Kluyveromyces lactis: one gene and its partners. The protein of the gene in region 2 interacts with the protein of the main gene of each other region in a pairwise test. Links are inferred from orthologs where the notes say so. Each region holds a gene or a part of one and is shown on either strand. Other genes may lie near its edges. The genes, in order: SEC9, TLG1, SEC17, VPS45 and TLG2.

What was found.
Region 1: the proteins of TLG1 (region 2) and SEC9 interact in a two-hybrid assay, tested with the Saccharomyces cerevisiae proteins (2 studies listed by BioGRID, with this or other methods). The link is inferred for Kluyveromyces lactis from reciprocal best matches to the Saccharomyces cerevisiae genes TLG1 and SEC9.
Region 3: the proteins of TLG1 (region 2) and SEC17 interact in binary tests that used the Saccharomyces cerevisiae proteins (3 or more experiments, as listed by UniProt). The link is inferred for Kluyveromyces lactis from reciprocal best matches to the Saccharomyces cerevisiae genes TLG1 and SEC17.
Region 4: the proteins of TLG1 (region 2) and VPS45 interact in binary tests that used the Saccharomyces cerevisiae proteins (3 or more experiments, as listed by UniProt). The link is inferred for Kluyveromyces lactis from reciprocal best matches to the Saccharomyces cerevisiae genes TLG1 and VPS45.
Region 5: the proteins of TLG1 (region 2) and TLG2 interact in binary tests that used the Saccharomyces cerevisiae proteins (3 or more experiments, as listed by UniProt). The link is inferred for Kluyveromyces lactis from reciprocal best matches to the Saccharomyces cerevisiae genes TLG1 and TLG2.

The regions. Positions count from the first base shown.
Region 1 is NC_006040.1:173,351-176,767, forward strand, and holds SEC9 (Sec9p), read right to left. Parts: upstream 2,198-3,417; coding exon 527-2,197; downstream 1-526. Other genes in the region: ECL1 (Ecl1p), read left to right, coding at 1-213; TIF6 (translation initiation factor 6), read right to left, coding at 2,557-3,294. UniProt on the Saccharomyces cerevisiae protein: Component of a SNARE complex that may be the effector of SEC4 function in exocytosis.
Region 2 is NC_006041.1:318,864-321,387, forward strand, and holds TLG1 (Tlg1p), read left to right. Parts: upstream 1-1,303; coding exon 1,304-1,999; downstream 2,000-2,524. Other genes in the region: mitofusin complex protein UGO1, read left to right, coding at 1-528; SDC1 (Sdc1p), read right to left, coding at 637-1,041.
Region 3 is NC_006041.1:529,684-532,659, reverse strand, and holds SEC17 (alpha-soluble NSF attachment protein SEC17), read left to right. Parts: upstream 1-1,365; coding exon 1,366-1,395; intron 1,396-1,617; coding exon 1,618-2,466; downstream 2,467-2,976. Other genes in the region: RPL43B (60S ribosomal protein eL43), read left to right, coding at 212-213, 708-984. UniProt on the Saccharomyces cerevisiae protein: SNARE complex protein that binds to cis-SNARE complexes on membranes and is required for vesicular transport between the endoplasmic reticulum and the Golgi apparatus and for homotypic vacuole fusion.
Region 4 is NC_006041.1:1,671,821-1,675,285, forward strand, and holds VPS45 (Vps45p), read right to left. Parts: upstream 2,255-3,465; coding exon 521-2,254; downstream 1-520. Other genes in the region: CTI6 (Cti6p), read left to right, coding at 1-443; TCO89 (Tco89p), read left to right, coding at 2,612-3,465. UniProt on the Saccharomyces cerevisiae protein: Essential for vacuolar protein sorting. Function in membrane traffic between the Golgi and the vacuole.
Region 5 is NC_006037.1:927,375-930,180, reverse strand, and holds TLG2 (t-SNARE syntaxin TLG2), read right to left. Parts: upstream 1,619-2,806; coding exon 524-1,618; downstream 1-523. Other genes in the region: KLLA0_A10703g (uncharacterized protein), read left to right, coding at 1-304; ATP-dependent RNA helicase FAL1, read left to right, coding at 1,926-2,806. UniProt on the Saccharomyces cerevisiae protein: t-SNARE that functions in transport from the endosome to the late Golgi and on the endocytic pathway.

The DNA of each region.
Region 1 (3,417 bases), on a different chromosome or scaffold from region 2:
ACGATATATGATCTTCTAGATCGAGATCAAGATGATATGGATTTCGATCTGGAATTGTCACTGGATAGGAACACATTAGGACATGGGGCTTCACTTCCGATGATGACGATACCGCGTTCTGTCGTTGGGAAGGATCAAGAGTTTGTCAGTTACACGGATCATACTGCTGAGGATAACTACAAGCTTTGGTTGAACTATAATTTGACAGGATAGTTAAGAGGATTCCTGAACATCACAATAACTTTGCAATACTTAAACACAAACACAACACAAACACACTCACTCTCTTTATGAACAACACGCTATGATTATATGGGCTCTCTTATGCTGGCCCCTTTTCCTCCTCCAGGTGGAACTCCTGGCACAATCGCTTTCACACATTTTCTACATCGAAGATAGATAAGATACAGCAGTACTTTCTGATATTATATAGAATATGTTTATGATGTATACCCCCGCCATGGCGACTTTAACGATCTCACATTTTGCATTTTTTAATTAACATTTTATTTATAAGACTCTTCCTTCATCTTATATTGGTTAACCTAGTCGTGTTCACATGGATCTTGATATCCAAATCATCGGTGCTCTCCTCAATCCGCTTGATCCGATCTTGTTGAGAATCTATCTCCTTACCAGTGGTAATCGCAAGTTTCTTTAACCTACCACTGATTTGTCCAATCTTATCCAAGTTCTTGTCGATTTCCATTTCCATTTCATCATCTTCTTCGTCGTTCTCGAACTGATACCTTTTAGCCTTCTCTAAGATCTGCTGGTTCTGGTACCGATCACGAACTTCAGATGGACCATGTCCACTCGACATGGCATTCTCGATACGTTTCGTACTTTGGTGTAACGTCGACGTGATATCCTCTTGGTTTTGTTTGTCCTGCATCCTTTGTAACTTTATCTTATCTTCCGCTTCGCGTGCACGTCTCTTACTATGGAACGGATTCGATACATGGACCGCTAAAATGTTCCGGTTTAACTTCTTCAATTCACTCACTTTATCATCGGCAACTCTGTTCTGGATTTGCATTAAATTCAGGTTTCTTTCCACATTGTTCAATTTCTCCGATTGATGTCCTAACATACCGATGGTATTCATACCAGCTAATTCAGCATCCTGTGCCATCTTTAGCGTGTTTCTCGTACTGGCAACTGAACTCTGTTTTGTAAATTTGATCTGTTGCTTGATCCCATCTACTTCTTCATCTTCTTCTTGTTGTTCAGCACGCTGACTTTCTTTTTGAATATCTTCAAATGTCTGATAACCCTTTGCAGGGGTCCCAATACCCTCGTTCTCATGAATGGAATTGTTTAAATCATCATCATCACCGTTGCCATTGCGTTGAACTCCCTTAGGATTATCAATTTCTGGCCTAATTGTCTCATTGAGATCTATTTCGTCATCAGCTCCGGACCGTTCGAAATTAAATTCACGGTCGTTTGATCTGGTTGCAGATGTAGAGTGACGAGGTGAGGCATAAGATCTACTTGAAACATCAGAAGCCGCCACATTTGGAGTAAAGCCCTTATATGCATTCACGCTACCAGAATTTGAATACGAATTTGTTCCATACGGATCCTGACTGTTCATGTTAGCATAAGGGTTACTAGGTCTCTGACCGGTAGCACCATTATTATTGCTGCTAGATGCCTGCGGAGACGGACTTGCGTATGTATCACCACTATAGCTGTTACTGCCATAGCTTTTGTTGCTGTAGCTATTATTCATTGATCCATACGGGTTATTGTTCTGCTGCAGTGGCGCGTTGTAACCGGTATCATATGGAGAAGCACTTGCATTTCCATAGGGAGAGGAATCACTGTTCCCATACGGAGATGCATTATCATTGCTATATGGATCAACGTAGTTGCCCGTGTGTCGAGCGCTGGCAGAAGCGTTTCTATTGTTAATCATGGAGACTTCATCGTAAGGAGAGTTGTTCAAATCATCCAACTGCTGTCGCTCAGAAGGCTGAGCTCCAGGATTCGCATATTGTTCATATCCTTCTGGTGCATAGACCTTACTTTTGACCTTATCGTTAGCAAACTTCCCATATGCGGCAAACTTTTCTCTTCTATTTGATGGTGTAGTCTTGGTGGAAATTCCTAACTCGTTCAAATATTCACGGTTTTCTTCGGGGGTAGCCTCTGGAGGTGGCTTGATCTTGAAGAACTTCTTAATACCCATGGTTTCACTACGGTAACAGCAACCTTTTAACCTTATTTGATCGATGTTCCCCTTTTACCTTGTCTTTACCTATCTAAAAATTGATGTTAAAGGAACTACAACTTTTCGATTCTTTTGTTTCATTTAAATTTAAAGGTTTCTTTTGGGTCCAGTAGTACTTAGTGAACCACGATGCACAAAATACAAAAGAAAGAAGGAAATAAACAGTATGGGGTTGATGCAAATGCCAAAGAGCAATCAAAATAAAAATTGTACTATACAGATCCAGAGATATACACCAATATTACATTAAAAAATGGGGCGATAATGGGGGCCAAAACGATATAAATGACAGAAGAGAGCGATTGTATCAATTCCTTTTATGAGTAAGTTTCGATCAAAGTATCACGCAAGTTACCAGAGATAGCTTCTGGTTGAGCGTCTTGTAGACGGAAGATAGATTCGATCACACTTAATTCTGGAGCGGTGGTATCTAGACCAGTAACTGCCAAATAGTCGTTCACGACCATACCAGCACCGACGACTTGCGAACCACGGTTCACAGTACCAGCAACTAGTGGGACTTGCAACAAAGAGGAAAGTTCTTCTTGGTCTTGTACTGTAGTCTGAGGATGCACTAGACCACCTTGGTTAGACAACGCACAATATGAACCAACAAGAACGTTACCCGAAATTGTTTGACGGAAAACTTCAACACCTAAGACATCGGCAATCAACTCCTCAGTTTCTCTGTCGATGTCTGGATGAACCAAAGCAACATAATCATTACAACAGATAACATTACCTAACGCAGATAATCTCTCCTCAACTCTTTGAACCTTCACAGCATCTGGCAAACAGTTTCTCAAATGTTGTAATTCTTGGTCGGTAGTTTGAGTTGGAACCAATAACCCTCTACGGTTACCAGCAGTCATACGACCAACAATCCTCGTACCTGCAATAGTGGTATGAGCAATAGGAATAGCATCTCCTAATTCGGCTTCAAACGCAGAATAAAAGTTCTCCGAACCACCAAGTGCCACCAAACAGTACGAGTTAGTTAGCTTCGAAAACACACCAATTTCGTTAGAATTCTCAAATTGTGTCCTAGTCGCCATAATTTCAGTTGATTTATCTGCAGTGGTATACTGGCGTAACAAGCAGAACTAGTGTTTATAAGTCAGAAGAACTGTACTAATTCAAGCCGAATCAACCATCCGCAAGATGAGATGAGATGAGCT
Region 2 (2,524 bases):
TTAATTATCTCTTCTGTTCGTAACGATGGTTCCCTTTCTGATAACGATAGATCCTTAAGAAAATTGTTGAGAAAATGGTCCTGGAGGGAAAACATATCCAAACTAAATAAGGAATTGGTCTTTTTGAATATATTATATTCCCTGGTAGGGACAGGATTTAGCAAATTAACCGGTGCAATACTATATCATCAGTTCAATGTTGACAAATTCACTAATGTGATTCTGTACAACACATTAAAGTTCTGCAGTAAAGTTTGTGAACTCTTCGTAAAGCTACCAATTGAGAATCTATTGAGAAGGAGTCAAGTGAAGTTCTTGTTCACAGAAAACCCATTCCAAGTACAATCTGAAATGTTAATCATAAAACCAAGGGAGTACCAATCCATCTACCTGACGGTATTCAAGCAGTGCGACAGAATTAGTGAACTATGGCGAGGCTGGAGACTCGGGCTTCTAAGCATTTTATGCGGTTATGGTTTGAAGATTTTAAATAAGCCATCAGAAATACTCGAAGAGGAGAAGTTTTAGTTCATGTAGATATCTATAAGTGAACTGGACATTGAAGGAAAACATACATATATAAAATAATAATAATAATACAGATGTCTTTAGTTTAAGAAAGTCGTAAATTCATATCTACGATGAAGGCTTCTGGTTCATTTCGCTTGCATCAATCAAGAACTGGCCTAATACTCGAAGTGGATCCTCGGGCTTTTCTCTGGCTATCAGTTTCATTCCTTCCAATAAATGTTTTGTTACATGTTCATTCAAATATCTTCTAGTGGTTGACCCACCGATCATCGCTACTGGATCAACACGATCATGATCAATTTGTAGTTCCTTCTTGGGTGATACTTCTCTTTCTGTTGTAGCTGCAGTTGCAGAGGTAACAGTTCCAGATGATTCCCTTGGTATACCCGATGGAGACAGGGGTTCAGTGGTAGAAATCGAAGAGACGCCAATATCCGGTACAATATGTTCTTCTTTCTCAAGTTTTACCACATCTTCAGGTGCCATATTCTCCATCACTGGTTCTGACATGTAGATAAGCTTCAGTTGTGGCAGGAGACCAGGATTGGAGCTTTATTCGGCCAAGTCTAGGTGTAGATCTGTCCATGTATATAGTCAAAACTCAGTGATTTTTCAAGATTGTCAATAATAAAAGGAAAATAATAACAAACTGAAATCTTAAACAAAGTTCACCAAGGCAGGTACAATTCGAGCTCCCCAAGAAACAGACCGCACTGAATCAGGTAATACCAATATTATATCAAAATTAACCACCAAAAGCAAAGAGGACAAAATGGATCCATTTATTCAGGTTTTCAAGGACACAGAGGAACAATTGAACCAATTATTGCAGATATTAGATAGGAAGAAGAAAGGGAGATCGAACACCAGTTCGAAAGAGATCTCGGAAATCATCTCTGAGGCTCAAGAGACTATCCAAGATCTAAATGAGAGTATAGAAATGATGAAACAGGAACAAGCTATTCCCGAATACGAAATTCAGACCCGTGAGAAGTCCATGGCAAACCTGGAATCAAAATTGAAACAATGCCAGTCGTTAAATATCGAGACAACCCGCGACACCGATGCAGCTACCCAATCATCATTGCTGCCGCAGCAACAACAGCGTGGCGATTCCTTCGATTTGGACATCGAGGCAACTGCAGGCACCGACCAATCAGACGCGGCAAACCACGACGCCGTACAGGAGCAATTACTCCGTGAACAAGACAATCAATTGGACATGATTCACCAGACAATGCAAAACATTCATCTACAGGCATCTACAATGGGTCAAGAACTAACAGAACAGGGCATGATTCTCGAAGAAATGGACGGAAATGTCGACGGAGTCATGAACAAACTTTCCAGAGGAAGACGACAACTAGAATGGGTCTACGAACACAACAAAGAACGTGTCAACGACTGCTGCATCTTTCTCTTAATCATTGCATTGATCATCCTACTAGTACTAGCATTCATTTTGTGATGTATATCACCGAATTTGAACCGGGAACCAAACAGAAACCAAAAAAGGAAGAAGACGATGCACATTCCCGAGTAACGAAAGGTGCGAAGTTTCCTAAGAGAAACTGACACAATTCTTGACCCCCCAGTTGACGGATCGTCATCGTCGTCGTTCCATTCCTCTGATAGACAAAATACCTCTCGACACTGTTGCGGTATGGAAAAAAATCGGAAATCACAACATACGACAGCGGCTTTGAAATCGTACCACAATGGAGCTTTCGAACTGATTTTTTTGTTGAAATATATAGAAAGTATGGAAACTGAGAAATGGAAAAGTATTAAGACCAAGTTAGTTTTTAAGGTACAAAAGCAAAAGGTTGCTTGCTGGATTGGGTTTTTTGCACGTCAAGCTACAGTGTCAGATCCAAGACTATCGAAGAGAGCGATTTCATTTAAGAGGCGAAGGGCACTAGGATTAGGACGGAGTTGATAATACTTACTGGCATTCATTCCCGGATTTTCTGTGTCTTGTAATTATCGTTTG
Region 3 (2,976 bases), about 210 kb from region 2:
TGTTTTAGTGGACAGTGGATCTTTCATCCTCACAGTTTTTTCAATTCTGCAAACTTGACGAGTTTCAAACTCATTTACAATACCAACCAGTTTTCATCTTTAGCAAGTGATTAGAATTTAAAGATTGTATAGGTTGTTAACTACGTTTTATAGTTGTTCATATTCACTCTTATATACCCTCCAGAAACCAAGCAAACACAAAGAAACCAAAATGTATGATACCTAATGCACACCGCGCACAGTTATGGGGCCGAAGAACTCAGTGATCGATATAACAAGTTGAACTATGAACTATGATAGACTAGACGATGAGGATTGAAGAAGACGAAGAAGAAGCAGACTGATACGATACAGGCAGACTGACCTGTTCACTAGGAGATGGAATCAACATAGAAGAAGTGTAGTGACAAATGGGTAACTGGAATTATACCATAAGCACAAGAAACTACAGCTAGATGCAAAATTCCAGTGTGATGATTTATAGTGTCAGCTCCACACGCACGACAGCAGAATAAATGACGATCTATTAGACCTCCTCCCCCAAAAAAACTGTTGTTCCTTTAATTGCAACAATTTTACTAACTTTTATATCTGTGTTATTACCCATTCTACCTGTGGTATCGATTCATTACCACCCATTATGTGAACAAATTGAATCGAACTATTGGAATCGGACGTAATGAATACACAATTCATTTTATATTCAGGGCTAAAAGAACTAAGAAGGTTGGTATCACTGGTAAGTACGGTGTCCGTTACGGTTCCTCTTTGAGAAGACAAGTTAAGAAGTTGGAAGTTCAACAACACGCCACTTATAACTGTTCTTTCTGTGGTAAGACTTGTGTTAAGAGAGGTGCTGCTGGTGTCTGGTCTTGTTCTTCTTGTAACAGAACCATCGCTGGTGGTGCTTACACTTTGTCTACCGCCGCTGCCGCTACCGTCAGATCTACCATCAGAAGATTGAGAGACATGGCTGAAGCTTAAGCTTGTTGCATCGTATAATCATGTTATAAGTATCCTTCAATAAAACGTATCTTTCCACTTTGTGTTATTTTATATTCCATCTACCCTATATAACTGATTTAGGCGTGATGGTCGAGTGTTCATCCTCGCGTCCAGCCAAATACCTTGGACCGGCTCCCAGGCCAGCCTATTTGAAAGTCACGTGAATTAATTACCCGGCTGCTGATAGCCTTCCGTTGTTTCTCCCCTTAAGGAATTTCTTTACTTTCTGATGGTAATTAGAATATGTAACATGTAATGATGATACAATGTTGATAGTTTGATAGTAAAAGTTGTAAGCAAGCTCTTGGTTGACAAAAGTTAACAGCATTCAGCCATATCCCACTCAGGTTTTCTTTGAATATGTCGGATGTTAAAGAAATTATAGCTAAGGTACGTTTTTTCTCCATCATTTATGTTGAAAGGTCAAATCAATAAGTCTAGGAAAGTATGATGACAATGGTTGACCTTATTCTCGCCTGAACCCCTAATACTAACAATAAACATATGCAAACCCTAGCCATAATGTGATGAAAGAGGAAGTGATTTATCATTCGTATTCTCTCTTTTTCACTTAATGGTATGGAAACATATCTCATGTCATTTTTGTAATAGGCCGAAAAGAAGGCTAAACCATCATCAGGATTTTTCAGTTTCCTTAGCGGTTCAGACTCTTACCGTTACGAAGAAGCAGCAGATCTTTATATCGAGGCTGCAAACCTCTATAGGCTAAGAAAGGAGTTGGATCAAGCGGGTGATACTTTCTTGAGGGCAGCAGAGTGTCAAATACAGGCTTCTAATGAAGATGAAGCAGGAAATACGTATATCGAAGCCTACAAGTGTTTCAAGACAGGATCTTCTCCAGCACAAGCTGCTGAGTCCTTAGCCAAGTCGATAGATATTTTCACAAGAAGAGGTCAGTTTAGAAGAGGTGCCAACTTCAAATTCGAATTGGCTGAATTACAAGAACAGCAATTACAGGATTACCCAAGTGCCATTGCCAATTATGAAACAGCTGGTGATTGGTATTTGCAAGACCAAGCTATTGCTCTCTCGAATAAATCCTACATTAAATGCGCCGATTTGAAAGCTTTGAACGGTGATTATTTGGAAGCTACCGAGATCTTAAAGAAAGTCGTTGAAAATTCATTGGGGAATAAATTAAGCCAGTGGTCGCTCAAAGAGTACTTATTGAAGATTGGCCTATGTTACCTTGCTGCTGGTGATGTTGTAGCTGCAGATAAAAGTTTGAACGAATCACAATCGTTGGATCCATCATTCTCTCAATCAAGGGAGTTTGAGTTACTATCAAACGTAATTGAAGCTGTAAGGGAAGGTGATACTGAAAAATTATCGCAAAAGATCTACGAATATGATAGGTTCAATAAGTTAGACCATTGGAAAACAACTATACTCTTGAAGGTGAAAAATACAATCGTCGAGGCGGATGACGATCTACTATAAAATGGTAATATTCAACTCATTCTCTTGTAATTGTATTCTTTTCTCTAACACAACTGTCACTTTTTTGGTGGAATAATTATTTTATAAATGGTGTATACCCATTTGTACAACCACATCGAGTGGTTTGTTTCACGTTAACGTCTTTCATTTCCCATTATCAACTATATCGATGCAAATAAGCTTGCCATCTGGCTTGGACGTTTGGAAATTTTGAAGATGTTAATGGTAACGAAAATGTTTTTTAAGCTTCTGACGAACGGCTCCCTTACCGTTTTGAATAAATATACAATTAAGTAAGAAATGTATCACAATTTTTTACATCTTCTTACGGTAAGAAACAAACCTAATATTTCAGAATGCTGGTACAATTTTTAATGAATATGATGATACTTCCTCAGCAAATCTACTAGATGAGCCTACGCAAAAGGCAGTTGATTGATAATATCACTAGATGAATGAAAACACATCAACTGAGGGGTAACATGATCTCTAAAACGTTCAGATAAGAGG
Region 4 (3,465 bases), about 1.4 Mb from region 2:
GAAGAGGTAAGAGCAATGGTTCAACCACGCAAAGTAACTCAAGGATTTACAAGACCTCAAGTGGAAGAGTTGCAAGGAATTCTAAAGCTAGCAGCTCAAAAGGATCGGGTTCCTCTGGAAGTTCAAACTTGTCGAAATCTAATGGACAATCTAATGATATCGGAATCAACAAGCCTCTAAAACCCAGGATTCCCTCTCAGAGGACCACTATGCATGAAATGAGAAGAAGAGTTAACGCTATTCTGGAATTTATCTCAAGGACACAGTTAGAAATATCTAATGACCAACGTCAACGGGATCAGTTGTGCCAGTTTGTGGAAAACGAAGAATTCCTGGAAAATATTAATAAAATATTCTCCAGTTACGACGAATCCTTCAAAACGATGGATGAGCTAACGAGGAAATTACTGCTTTGGGAGCAAAAGTTTAGTCCAGCTTCTTAAAAGCATGATAGAGAGTGTTCTTTTCTTGTTTCATACATTTCCTTACCTAATTCTACATCTGAAGTACATACGTAAGTTCATAATAAGTCAACTGGTTTATCATTAACGGCGCAAACATCTGTTAAAAATTGCTCTGTAGAAATAATCGAGGTTCCTCCAATGATAACTCTGCAATTGTCCTTATTTTTACTCTGTTTCTCATTGAATTGATGTACTGCGCGCGCTTCTTCTATAGTGAGGCCTCCGACGATCAATATAACAACATCTTGTGGCATATATGTCTTAGGGTCAATATTTTGGTTTAAAAGAGTCACTCCCTCTTGTGGGAACTTGTTTTTATCCAAATCGCTGAGAAGTGTTGTCAATTCAGGAACATGTTGCATAAACACATTTTCAGCGCTGGTGCTGCCTAATCTGTTGAATTTCTTGGTTAATCCACTAATCAAATCATTGTCCTGAGGAGCTTTGTGTTTATTGAATATTGACCCAAATCTCTGTTTAAATTGAAAGTAAAGAGAAATTTGTGTGGGATCACACTGTTGTCTTAGAATATTCTCCAACTCAGAAACTCTAGATTCGTTCTTGCCGTGTCGTAGAACAAAAATGCAGCATAATTTTAATTTGTAATATGATTCTAAGGTTGGTAAGTTTAGAATTCTCTTCAGTTCTACAAAGTCATCGTTATTGTCATCATGTGAAGAGAGGTTTTGCTCTAGCTCACTGACTTCCCATATATTCTTCAGTTGTAATTGCCTATCTAATTCACTAACAATGGCCATATGTTTTGAAATGTTGCCTGAGAGTTTCTTAAATTCGGGGAACTTTTCGATGAACTCTTTAATATCTTCTATCGTATTGATTTGTTTGGTAATGTTGGTCTTATTTTTATACTGAGTAACATAGTTCTTCACCTTATCTGCCAAATCACCAAAATTCATATACATTGTTTCTTTGAAGAACTTATCTTGTTTTGAAGAGAGTACAACCTGCTTCAAATCGGGATCGATATTTGGTACATTCGAAAGGTCTACCAAGTTTCTTTTTATTCCGATATATTCATTTATCATCGATTGATAGGTCCACGGTTGAAGTAATGGTGTCAATGGATCCGATTTCCTGTCAAGTAAAATTAGTAACGGATTCGAATCTCTGACGGGAAAATCAAATAACTGCCTTTCATTTGTCTTAATTTCATACTCTAAATCCTTAGCTAACTTTTGACACAATTTGCTATCCGAGTCATACGCAATTGTCGGATTTAGTTTTAACGATAGTAGCAATGAGATTAACCCGTTAGACGTCTCCTGCAATCCCTTTGGATCCCATACCAATTGATTTTGGAGAAGATTGTACAACGGGATCTCTAAAGTGAAGACATCCTCGTTCACAATTAGGTAGTCTTGGAAAACTTCTTCTACATGTGTGACAACCTCCATATCATCTCTTTCGGCTAACCGTTCCAACTGGGACTTACTCACCTGGTTATTGAAGAAAATCTGGTATTCGCCATACTTGGGATCCTGTAATTCGTGTAATAGGTCTTGAATCGTATCCTCAGTGGGTTTCAAATAGCATAAACATTTCAAATGTGGCATTGGATCTCTGTGAATATTCTCAAGTTTATCGACCAAGTAAATCTCGTGCTTTAATAGCTCGGTTTGAGTAGTACACATCGATATCGTAGAGAGTGTGTCATTATCCAAAATCAATGCCTTTACTCTCGACTTCTCCTGTATCGAGGTGTCCGACGGTTTGGACTGGAAATTTGCGATTCTGCTGATATAATAATCACCAACCGTAAACAAATTCATTACGAAAAAGTGCTCTATCCTCTCAATTTCAAAAGAACTTGGATATCTTAATTGCTGATTCACCGTTGGCACGCGCTACAGCAGCCTTAATCTACCGTTTCTCACTGCTACTTTGTTCCATGCAAAAGTTTAAGGTCATTTCTCCTTTAATACTTATTTTCAAAAAGAGTTGAAACTAAGATTCTGGCACACATCAATCCATCTTTGTTTAACTACAAACAAACACAGGAACAACAATCTTGCTATAGCCTGTGATTCCAAACTTTACATTTAGGTGGGAAATAGCAATTTTTCCACAATTCTGTACAGTCAAGGTAATAATTCTTAAGTTGAGGCTACTGGCTATTCTTTACAACAATGGCCACAATTTCCCGTGTGAAGCCTGTGAAGACTAATTCAGATACCAGTCTATCACAGTATATGAAGCAGAAGAAAGGACATGGAAAACCTAAACAGTTCTCTGCAAAATCTAGGAGCAAGAGCAACACCAGTTTCAAGAACTTACAGAAATTACACAAGGTAGGAAGCCACGATGCATTGAATAGAGGACTTTTCGATCCTATGAAGAAATCGAAGAGTTCGGACTCATTGAACAGACGCACGGTACACAGTGGTCTCAGTATGACGGCATTGGTAAGAACATCATCTCATCCAGTTGTGCTACACCAGAATAGTCACAGCATGAAGCATAAGGGCCTAATTAGTGATAGGAACTCCAAGTCCGTCATCCTAGATCTTCACGATTCTGGGGATAACGATTCTATGACTGATGAAGAGGTAGAGTCTTTCACCGATATAGAAGGAGATGATGCATCAGATGATGAGACAATAAATGGAACGGGCAAAAATTCAACAACTCAGAGGAACTCGATGCATAGCATCAATGATTTTCAGGACAGAGCTGGGTTAAGAGTGGATTCTGGTAGACCTCTACAAAGGCCATTGAGCTATAAACCACCGTCACGGCTTAGAAACAGAGTTGATGCAGATGATGATCATATTTCATCAAGAGCTGTGAGCCCAATGGATAATGACAAAATTGACGCTCCTGACAGGGAAGATGACCTTATTGACCCTGGCAATCAGGACACTATATCGAACACGAATAGTCTAAGACGCCACAGGCAACATATGTTTGATTTCAATAATGGAAACGGTAATCTGCAGAAATCTTATAATGTGGAAACTACGGAGCATGAGGATATTATAGC
Region 5 (2,806 bases), on a different chromosome or scaffold from region 2:
TCCGCAACAAGGATACTACCACCCTCCGCCACTACCAGTACAGCAACAACAACCACAACAACCACAACCTCCGTATTCGGCTGGTCCGTCTGCATCAGATTTCTTATTACAATCAAACCCTGAATTCTCCATCGGAACTGGTCCAGCATCATACGGAAATAGCCAAAGGAGTGCAGGGCTAAACTCCGCACCAGCATCTTCAATGCACTATAAACCTGCTTATAGGAAAAGGCTCCCAAGAAAAAATAACCTACCTCTGCATCCATGTCAAGAGACAGTCCCTATGGAGCATTTTAAGTTCTGATTGTAATATTCATACTGAAACCACTCACTTTTTAAACAAATTTATTCTATTTACTGTAACAGATAATATATAGACCTCCTCTCTAGTTAACTTTTTTGAACCTTTCTACTGTTACCAATTCGACAGTGGTCGTTTACTTCTATCACGATATCAAAATTTGTTTTCGAAGTTCGATGCAGTTTCTCCATCATAAGCAAGTTCATTAATATTTGACCATTTTTATTCTACATTACTTTCTGGATCCAGCAACGGGTCTCCATTAGGAGAATTGACCTCCACTTGTGATCCAGGAGGTTTGTGAGATTTTGAAGGAGCTGATTCTCGTATAGTATGGTGATGAGGTTTCAGCATGACAAGGAGGAATAACGCTAGAACGACCAAAGATAGAAATAGAATAATTTTACATTTTTGACTCCGTTTTTGGTAGTGCGTTGCCTTGTCTAACTCCTTTTGGGCCTGCTTTAATTCAATAACCGTGTTTTCTAAGTTATAATCGATCCTATCGACCACTGTACCTTGATCTATGATCAAAGACTGCATTTCCCTGAAAATAGTACTAACTTCGAGTACACCTTTCGCTAACTGTGTAATTTCCTCATCTCTTTGTTGCAAAAATTGCTGATTGTTATCCTGTAACTTCTGATTCTGTTTTTGTAAAGTCTGCTTTGAATATGAGTCGATGTTATTGACTTCATCTCCTTCAACTTCTTCCTCCAACAACATCAATGTATCGTTACTTGATTTCGTAGTGGGTAGTGGTTTGAAATCATCTTTATTCAAAAACTTCAAATGATTATTCTGTAATATTCTGAACTTCTGCGATTTGTCTTGCACTTTCAAAGCGTAGTTCTTTTCTAGGTTATCCAATATCCTTAACTCGTCCTTGCTTAGCTGCTTACCATTCGAATATTGAGAATCCTTAATTCTCGTAAGAGTCTTGATAACACCAAAACATTCTTGGAATCTCTTAATTACCTGGAAACTTATCTGCTCAATCTCCTCCTCATCCTGCTTATTGTCCTGGAATCCTGGTAAAGAGTTCTTTTGATATAGTTTCGTCAACTGTAGCAACAATTGATCTACTGCAGATAACGACTCATCCACTTGGAACGTTAAATCGAAAAATTTTGGCGGTAATTGACGGGAGAAATCATCCATAGCAACCATATCTTCATCATTGTTACCATCGTCACTACCAATGAATGGCTGGTTCTCCAAATCTTTATTCGATCGTAGATGCTTGGTACTCGAAAGCCTCTGATGGGGGAAAGTTCTCCTATAGGATAAAAACAAATTAGTTCTATCACGAAACATGGTGCAGTTCAAAAGCAAACAAGGGAAGAAAGCACGCACTACCACTAATCTGATCTAAATAATCACTAGATCGAGCCACTCGACCAGTTGTTCTGCAGTTATTTACATACACTTGTAATTTGACACCTTAAAGTGTTGTTGAACTTTCGGTTCTCAGCTTAAAACCTTTAAAAAATGGAAAATTTGGCAAGCACAACGATAAGATGAGATGCGATGAGATGCATTGAAATAGAGGCTGCAACGGTAGGTCCAAGTGAAGTGTAACCGGGAGTTACTGTTGTTAAGAAAGGGAATCATCACATCAACAATGTCGTTCAACAGAGATGATGACTCGAAGTTGAAGTTTAAGACTTCAAAGAAGCTCAAGGTATCTGCCACTTTTGAGTCGATGAACTTGAAACCGGATTTGTTACGAGGCATATATTTTTACGGCTTTGAATATCCATCATCCATTCAGTCTAGAGCCATTTCTCAGATTATCTCAGGAAAAGATGTGATTGCCCAGGCACAGTCTGGTACCGGTAAGACGGCCACATTTACCATTGGATTATTACAAGCAATTGATTCTAAGAGCAAAGAGTTACAAGCATTGGTCTTATCACCAACAAGAGAACTAGCGAGTCAAAGTGAATCTGTGATATCTAACCTAGGAGACTATTTGAACGTTACAGCACATGCGTGCACAGGAGGTAAGGCCTTACAACAAGATATCAAGAAAGTATCGAAAAATTGTCAAGTGGTCAGTGGTACACCGGGCCGTGTACTAGATATGATCAAGAGACAAGTATTGAACGTTAGAAACTGTAAGATCTTAGTTCTCGATGAAGCAGATGAACTACTCGGAGAAACTTTGGGGTTTAAACAACAAATCTACGACATTTTCACCAAGTTACCACCGACGATTCAAGTCGTGGTGGTAAGTGCTACAATGAGTAAAGATATATTAGAGATCACCAAGAAGTTCATGAGTGACCCGGTGAAGATATTGGTTAAGCGGGATGAGATATCCTTGGACGTGATAAAGCAATATTATGTGGATGTAGAAAAGGAAGAATGGAAGTTTGATACACTCTGTGATCTATACGATTCGTTAACGATAACACAATGTGTGATATTCTGTAATACAAGGAAAAAAGTGGATTGGTTATCCAGGAAGTTGACACAGACGAATTTCTCTGTGTCCTCAAT